Linked DNA regions of Xenopus tropicalis. The protein of the gene in region 2 purifies or fractionates together with the protein of the main gene of each other region. This does not show direct contact. Links are inferred from orthologs where the notes say so. Each region holds a gene or a part of one and is shown on either strand. Other genes may lie near its edges.

Region 1 (4,272 bases), on a different chromosome or scaffold from region 2:
AAGGGGCTAATTTCCCTTTCTGCAATGCCAAAGTAAAGGAGCAAGCAGTTTAACCTATTCTCTGCTAAACAAATGCGCAATGCGTTGCAGTATGTTAAAATGATTTAACCCTCTATTATCCAATACAAGTAAAGGCTCCATACCTGAATGTTCTCCAGGAGAGTGGACTTCGCTCATGCTGGAGGCAGAATGTGGGGAATCAGCCTGCAGGGCCTTAAAAATGGCATTAGGGGAGATGTGGGTTTGCTCAGCGCCGTCCTCTTGTTCTGACTGCCCATTCTTTACGGACTTTCTGCGCCGTGGCTGGTACTTGTAGTCTGGATGATCCTTCTTATGTTGGATTCGCAGCCTCTCTGCTTCCTCCACGAAAGGGCGTTTCTCGCCCTCATTCAGAAGTCTGAAAAAGCAATGGGGTTGGTGGTCATTATACATATAATCTCAAAGTACAGAGAATGACTTTTCTAATTACTGCATATTAATTACACTCCTATCCAGGGTTTTAGAGACGATTTTCTCAGGGCCCCAGCATCAGAAAAGGACCCCTTGGATCCCTCTGGGCATATTATTGTGACCTACACATTTAAGGATTATTCTATAGTTAGAGAGACAGTAAAAGGCTAGTTATATAACTTTTTACTACTTCTAAAGTAAGGGGGTCCCAGGTTTCCAGTGTTGCCTGGGCCCCCTATTCTTAATCACAAACCCTTCTCCTCTCAAAGTCCAGTATTTCCATAAATTCATTTAAAGGACATATTCTGCCCTGAACAGTAATCTAAAGTGGGGTGCTGCAAGAGGCATCGCTTTGGTAAAATGAAAACTAACAGTATCTGAGCTGGAAAAATCCAGTTTTATAGTGCAGGAAGCATTTAAGTCATCTGATAAGAGCGCAAAGGCTTATTTAAAGTGGTCTGAGTCATTTTCTAATTGCCCGCAATTATAATTATATTGCCCTATTCACCTGATCCTTGCAACAGCAACAAGGGGTTAACCTTAATGGTCCTGACACCCATAAAAATGGTATGGTTTACAGCATACAATCAAAAGGAAAAACCCTATAACAAGCGACAAATTTATGAGTTAGAGGTACAGGGCCCACCTGAGCACATACCCCTTTATAGGAGTCCACCAAACCCTAATTGTACCACTATTGCATAAACCGCATGTATAAATGTAGCTAACATGCATCTATGTGAGAAAGAACAAGGAAGCCGTAGTTTATAAAGTGCAAATACTTGCTGTTTGTTTTACACATAATCGTGCAGGAGCAATGATAAAACCTTCACTTTAATGTTGTGCATTCTGGTCTGCAGAGCCCTCTGCCAGTTGCACATTTCTATTGCATTCTGCATAACCACTGACAGTTTTACACATTAGTTATTAGCCTCTGCATTCTGCATAACACCCTCTGCATTAATCACATCACTCACACTCTGGTCTACACTACCCGCTGCATTCTGCAATGTCCACATAGCAAGGCATCATTAATATTTTAATATATTATAGGGATCCTAGCACCAGCTAAGTCTCCTGCATGACCCACTGCCCAACCACAACTAACTGCATTATTGGTTATCCCCTGCCTTGTGCTTTGAGCAATATCCAACAACCACCACCACCTTGCCCCATACATAAGTTCACATTCTACATTATGTACTGGGAACACAACCCACAGAACCCACACCGCCCACTGCATTTCGCTCTGCCCCAACCCAGCAGCACAACAAGCTGGGAAACAGATTCGCTATTACAATCCTTATTCTTTTATTCCAAAACCATAATTACAAAAGAGGGCCTCAGCTGGTAAGGAGATCCTGTCACAGTCAGACTGAGAGCTGGCAGACTGGCACCATCTATGATTCATCTAACCAGAGCTAATTAGCAGATCTTGGCTGTACCGATACAGACCTACAGCACATCCCTGGCAAGCCTGGAATACAGTGCCAAGGGAGCCGCCAGCAGACAGGCAAGAGAGTTACAGACGCGCACAAAGCGCAAAGTGCCAATACAGCTGCGCAATACAGAGGCGCACAGCAATAACCACATTTTGCATCAAAACCAACTCCTCCCCAATTTCCCACCATATGAAAAGAGGTTACATGCATGTTAACACCTTCAACCCCAAGCTCACAGAGGTGGCCACTTACCTCCATAACTTGCCCAGAGTCTTGCTGAGTTCTGCATTGTGCAGATGGGGGTATTGGTCGGCCAGCTTCCTCCTTGCAGCCTGTGCCCACACCATGAAGGCGTTCATGGGTCTCTTGACATGAGGCTTGCTCTTGCTGGATCCATTAACTCTGACTGGCATCGGTACCAGGGTCCAGTCATATCCCTTCAGCACCTGGCTGACCGCCTCTCTGATGCACACAGGAAACTTTTCGTCCTCTGTCTCCTTCTTCAGCTCCGGGTCCCCTTTGGGGAAAGTGTTCTCTTGGGGTCTGGTGTTCTCCGTGTCGGAGCCAGAGCCGGAGGGGCATGGGGAGCCAGCCGAGTCCTCGGACATTGTTGGGCTGGGGGCCCCGGACATGCACTTATCTTGCTCTTCTGTCATCTTCATGAAGGGATCCAAGAGATTCATGCGCAAAACGGTGCGAAGAGAATGGAGAGAAAGTTGGCGAAGAGAGTTGAGCGGCTGGCACTGTCTGGGCAGAGCCGCGTCTTCCCGCACCCCAGTCTCTCACAGGAACAATGGAAGTGGCTCTTCAGCAAAGGCACCCAAAGCAATGGGGAGAGTGGCCCTCCAAGGCCTTTCAAACATGCACGGGGCTCAGCCTCTGCTCACTTGTCAGCACCCCCAATGCAGAATTGCTATGGCTTTTGGCAATATTGGCTGTAGCTAAAGCCCCTCTCCTGCCTCTGCCCGCACACAGCTCCACTTTCAGATCTGTTCCACAAGCGGAGAGCGCTGCCATAAATACCCTCCTCTACTGGGAGCCACGCCCCCCCCAGCGGAGAGCACGGATTGGCTGTAGGGATTTGGAGAGGGGAGAGGGTGGGGGTAGTAGAAAGCTCTGCTGAAAAAAAAAAAAAATCAGGGAAGAGAGTGAATTTGTGCAGTTGAACTTTTTCAGATATCTACTAGCAAATTCTGCTTTTGTCTCGCTGCAGATGTAGTTGTTTTGTGGGGAACAAGCAAATAACAAATAATAGATACAGGATATAAACGCTGTTATGTAATGTGTCTTGTTCTACTCCAATACACCTAACAGCTCATTGGCTGGCACCTATACCCAGCAGGCATAGCATGGAGCACTGTATGCAGGAATTCAGCTATTCAACAACATGCAAGTCCTGGAGCAGCACTTCTCAAACCAATGGCATTTTATTAGAAATAGCTACTGTTAGACTGTAAGCTCTTGGGAAGAGTGATGCCATTCCAGCTATATGTGTAATCTCCTTATGTAATAGTTTGTACCAAACACTGATTCATGTTTTATTCCTTTCCAAAACATCTGCCTTTATAGAGAGCTATACAATCGTTTTGGTCTTATAAACCTATAGGGACGTGTATACAGAGAGCTCATATCTCCTATAAACTTATAGCTCCACCACTTCTACAGCCCGACTCCTTTACTTTACTTTTTGCACCACAACGCCCAGTATTCCAGGGCTACCTGATTTTGTGGGCTGCTGGGAATTTTAGCTGGGCACATATAAACTGCAGATATGTATATATGTATATATATTTATATATGATTGTATGGGGTTGTGCATAATACCGTTGAAAATGCGAGTGAGGGCATCATACAGTAAGCTCGTCCGATCATTTCGCACAATCCATCTGACTTGGCTGCCAAGCAGAGAGTCCAGTGTTACACAGGGGCTGTAGAGCAGGACTGAGGTATAAGACTATCATCTATCTATCTATCTATCTATCTATCTATCATCTATCTATCTATCTATCTATCTATCTATCTATCTATCATCTATCTATCTATCTATCATTTATCTATCTATCTATCTATCATCTATCTATCTATCTATCATCTATCTCTATCTATCTATCTATCTATCATCTATCTCTATCTATCTATCTATCTATCTATCTATCTATCTATCTATCATCTATCTATCTCTCTCTCTCATCTATCTATCTATCTATCTATCTATCATCTATCTATCTATCTATCATCATCATCTATCTATCATCTATCGTCTTTTCTCATTTCTTCCAGGAAATTAATGTCTTCATAATGACATAAAGTTAAAATCATACAATATATTTTGGGTGCATGGTATAAACTGATTTTTGTAAGGAATTAGCAGAACAATATG
Region 2 (4,205 bases):
CCAACCCAGCAGAGAAGATAAGCTGTGCTCATGGTTACGTATTGAGTTAACTTGCAGTTTCTACTCACTTCTATTGATAATCATTTGCTACTATACAGATGCATACTATTGAAACAGCACTTTGTGGTAAACCATAGTAGCAGCGCCGGCAGCATGCAGCCTGTTGTACTGGTGAGGAAGGTTAATGCTGTAGCCCTCCTACTGTTTGTGTTGAACTAAAAACCTAAAAATGCCACACAGAGCATTCTCATTCTGGGAGCAGTACTGCAGCTATAGCTGTGCTGGACAACTTTTTTTCTTTTTTGAAGGCTTGGCCTCTTTGCATTAATAACACAGAAGGCAGTTTATATACTTTATACAAACCTGGAGCAACTGCTTAGAATGAAAAAGACACCCCTATACATGTCATGAATGTAAATTACATTGCTAAATATAATACAGGCATTTTCCACCTACTGTAATATAAATTAGTAAAGAGTTATCTAATAATAGGGAGTACTGAACATGTGGCCCGGTCCAGAAGACAATTTTTTGCTACATGTGCTCTATATTACCTAAAGCCATCTTAATGCTCTACATTTATTTAATGCCAATAATTTGTGGGGTTTTTTCTCATATTTGGTTCAACAAGGCTGTGTTTAACTGCACTGCCACTAAATGTGTAGAGGGAAACTTATTACACGGCATATAAATGAAAATAATTACCCTACAATACATACCCCTGTGATGGGCATGCCTACACAAATATAATTGTGTGTAGTGCATGTTGCTTCTGCCTCAGTTCCAAATTTCAAGAGTCAGAAAGCAGCAGCTCCATTAAAAGCTCTCAGAAAAGAGAAAGTCTCTCAGTTTCCATTACATGTGCCATAAATGATAGCACTGACAATCTTTGTGTTTTGTCTCAGTGACTTCTAACAGAGAAATGAAAAAAGCAGGTCCCTTCACCATGTGCCATAACCCCAACAGGTGTAACTTTATTTCACTCTAGTAACAGAGCAGAGAACCACTACACCTTTGATTATCATCATCAAAACTAGGGGTGACAAGCAGATTTCAGCAATCTACTGTCAATCACAAGTGACCACCAGGAGCTTAATTTATGCTATTAGTAGGTACATTCATGCCCTAAAAACAGTATATACATCTTTAGTAAGAGCTTTTTTTAATATACACATAATCCAGGAATAAAAGTGCTTTATAAAGGGTCCAGGTTGTATTTAATCTTTGGTATTTCACTTAAATAAACCTTAAACTAGGGTTCAATTAACCTTTCAACCAGGTAGACATTTGGAATTCAGAATGTTTTAGGAACAGAAGAGGCTCTGAAAACATAGACCAATAATTCAAAAAACAGGAACATTCAAATTAAAGTCTAATAGTCCATGTTTCTATTGCGGGTCAGTGACCCTGTAACTAGGTAGCTTTTCCAGCTGCAATTTGGAAGAATGTGGTAAATAATTCAGAAAGAATACAACACGAAAAGTTTATTTTAGGACGGGCAAAATTTTGTCCACACTAAAGACTGGAGTTAATTATATATATAACAAATTCTTTTATACAAAATTCAAGTTTTATTGCATCCCATACTTTATGTTACTGCAATTTGGCATCCTCTGCCTTTCAATCCTATTACAGTAAATGCTTACACTAGGGATGCACCAAATCCACTATTTTATAATCTGCCTGAACCCCTGAATTGTTTGCGAAAGATTTGTCCAAATACTGAACCAAATCCTAATTTGTATATGCATATTAGAATAAGGAAGGGTTGAAGAGAACCGTGCATGAAAATTTTTCAACTTCCGTGTGATGGATTCTAATTCGTTTTGGCCAGAGGCATGGATTTGGCCAAATATGGATATAAAAGGTCAGATCTTGGCAGAATCCTGCACCAAATCCTGGATTCAGTGCATCACTAGCTTATACACATAAGTAACCTTATCTTTAAATAAAGTTTCACTCTAATCCCCCATATGAAAACAGCTAAATGGAGCAGCACAGACTAAAGACAACACAAAGCTGGGTTCTAGTGTGACAAGTCCCTTACATGAGTCTGAGCACTAAGTGGGAATGTTCTCACCATCAGACTTCTCTTACAATGGTTTGCATAGGGTGTTGCCCCAAGATTAGTACTGTGAGCACAGCATGCCTAAGCATTAGTACTACCCACTTACTTTGGGCAAGAAAAGGATGAATTAGGCAACTTGCAGTTCAGTAATGTGTGTCACAGGCAGAAGCCCAAGTACCCCTACAGGCTGGTTTGGTGTAAATAAATTCCACTTCCAAAAAGTCCACTTCTGTAGTTCTAGAGTCTTGAGGCAATGTTTTGGATTTCATAGTATGCACAGATATACAGGATACAGAGGTATAATTGTGTGTGTGTATAAATACACAATATACACAGAGCTATACTGTGCATATGGGAGTTAATACTTACAACACTTGCACACTACACAATCTCCCAATAAAGAGTTGCCTACAAGTCTATACTGAGTACAGCAGTGGTCTTCAAAGTGCGGCTCGTCAACTGTAAAACTACAACTCCCAGAATTCCTGGACGGATTCTGGGAGTTGTAGTTAAACACAGCTAGAGAGAAGGTAGTTTTGTGTCCCTGTAGCAGGGCAAGTAAATACAAATCTACATCCACTAATGTACTACTTTAAATTATTCCCCCACACACTACACTATTTCTTTAAAGCGATCAAGTCCCGGCGGTGGCCAGCGGCCAGTTACCTGGGTGGAATGACTAGTCGGGGGCATTCGCTGCCTTTCCTGGAGCCCACACGGGCAGGCACGCAGCTCACGGAAGGAAGGCTTCTCGCCGAGAGACAGGCACGGGAGGAGAGGGAGAGAGAGGGCGCGCCGGGATGACGTCAGTCGCTCAGCAACAACCAGGGCAGCAGTCGTCGCAGCGGCTTGATGTCATACGTGGGAGACGGAAGTAGGAGGCTACTGTTACTAGCCGCTACAGTTATGTTATGGTGGGGAAAGCAGCGGCGGAGTGTATTCAGCCTGGTGCTCGCAGGTGCATGTACCGCCTACGTTAGTAAGGTCAGTGAGACTCCGTACGATTAGCTCCAGCGGTTTCTCTGATTTTCAGTCTATTGCCGAATTATAGTTTCTTGTGTCATACACTGAGTGGTTGCAGTGTTCAGCAACAGTGATCTAAATGAGCCGGGGTGCCTTATACATATCGCTTCCGATGAGGATCGAGCTGCAGAATGGGGGGGGGGGGGAGACAGGAATTTAATTAGAACGGACAGCACACGAACGTGGACAGGCAGGTGTGGGGCACAATCACCCAGGGATAGGTGCCTACTGGGGGAACAATGCCTTGAGGCGAGAGATTCCAAAATGAGCCCTCTCCCCATGATGTAGGGATGGATGGTATCTTCAGGTTATAGTCATAGTTACCAGTATATATTACTGTCTGTCTGAGAAGGGTCTCATTCATTCAGTTCTCTAAAAAAAAAAAAGTCTAGTTGATTTGACTTATTGCTATAGTTATATATTACTGTCCATAGCCATAGAAATCATAGTCCCCAGTACATTCTAGTGCTATACTCCAGCAATAACTTTAATGATATTAATTTCATCAGAAGAGTTGAAAATTGCCTTTATTCCCACGGACCAAGACTAATGCATGGATAAAAAAAATGTTTGGAGCAACTGAATGCTAATATAAATAGTACAAAGTTTGCATAGTCTGTTTGGCACATGGGCTTTAATGAGCACTGGGTAGCACATACTTTCTACATTCAGAAAGGAGTCAGGACAGAGTCTGTAGGATAGAATTAAGGATTCATTATACTTTTGGGACTTTATTTCAAGATTTGTTTTTAAACAAAATTGTTAAATTGTTACATTTAAGCCTGTGCTATGGAGAATGGTGATGCTTTATAAATAAATGCCCTTAATTGTTTAGGTGTTGGAGATTGCATTGGCACATGCAGGTCTATAGAATGTTAGCAGTTTGTGCTTACCTGCTGTGTCCTTAGCACTCTAATGGTGAATACCGAGTTGAAGATAAAACCTGAGCTAATGCTAAAAAGCCTTTTTTTTTTTTTTTTTTTAAAAAGGAAATGATACCGCCTATTTGACATGAGTTCATTCATTTGTATTAATAATTTAATTTTTTACACAGACATACATGATTCCACAGAGTGAAAGGGAACAGTAAGAATCTGTCTGAGCTTGCAGGGAT

Evidence for each region.
Region 1: the proteins of fbxw7 (region 2) and sox9 purify together in Homo sapiens (affinity purification with western blotting; 4 studies listed by BioGRID and IntAct, with this or other methods). This does not show direct contact. The link is inferred for Xenopus tropicalis from reciprocal best matches to the Homo sapiens genes FBXW7 and SOX9.

The regions. Positions count from the first base shown.
Region 1 is NC_030686.2:30,590,483-30,594,754, reverse strand, and holds the start of sox9 (transcription factor Sox-9), read right to left. Parts: upstream 2,868-4,272; 5' UTR 2,576-2,867; coding exon 2,145-2,575; intron 398-2,144; coding exon 144-397; intron 1-143. UniProt on the Homo sapiens protein: Transcription factor that plays a key role in chondrocytes differentiation and skeletal development.
Region 2 is NC_030677.2:55,439,007-55,443,211, reverse strand, and holds the start of fbxw7 (F-box/WD repeat-containing protein 7), read right to left. Parts: upstream 2,864-4,205; 5' UTR 2,735-2,863; intron 1-2,734. UniProt on the Homo sapiens protein: Substrate recognition component of a SCF (SKP1-CUL1-F-box protein) E3 ubiquitin-protein ligase complex which mediates the ubiquitination and subsequent proteasomal degradation of target proteins.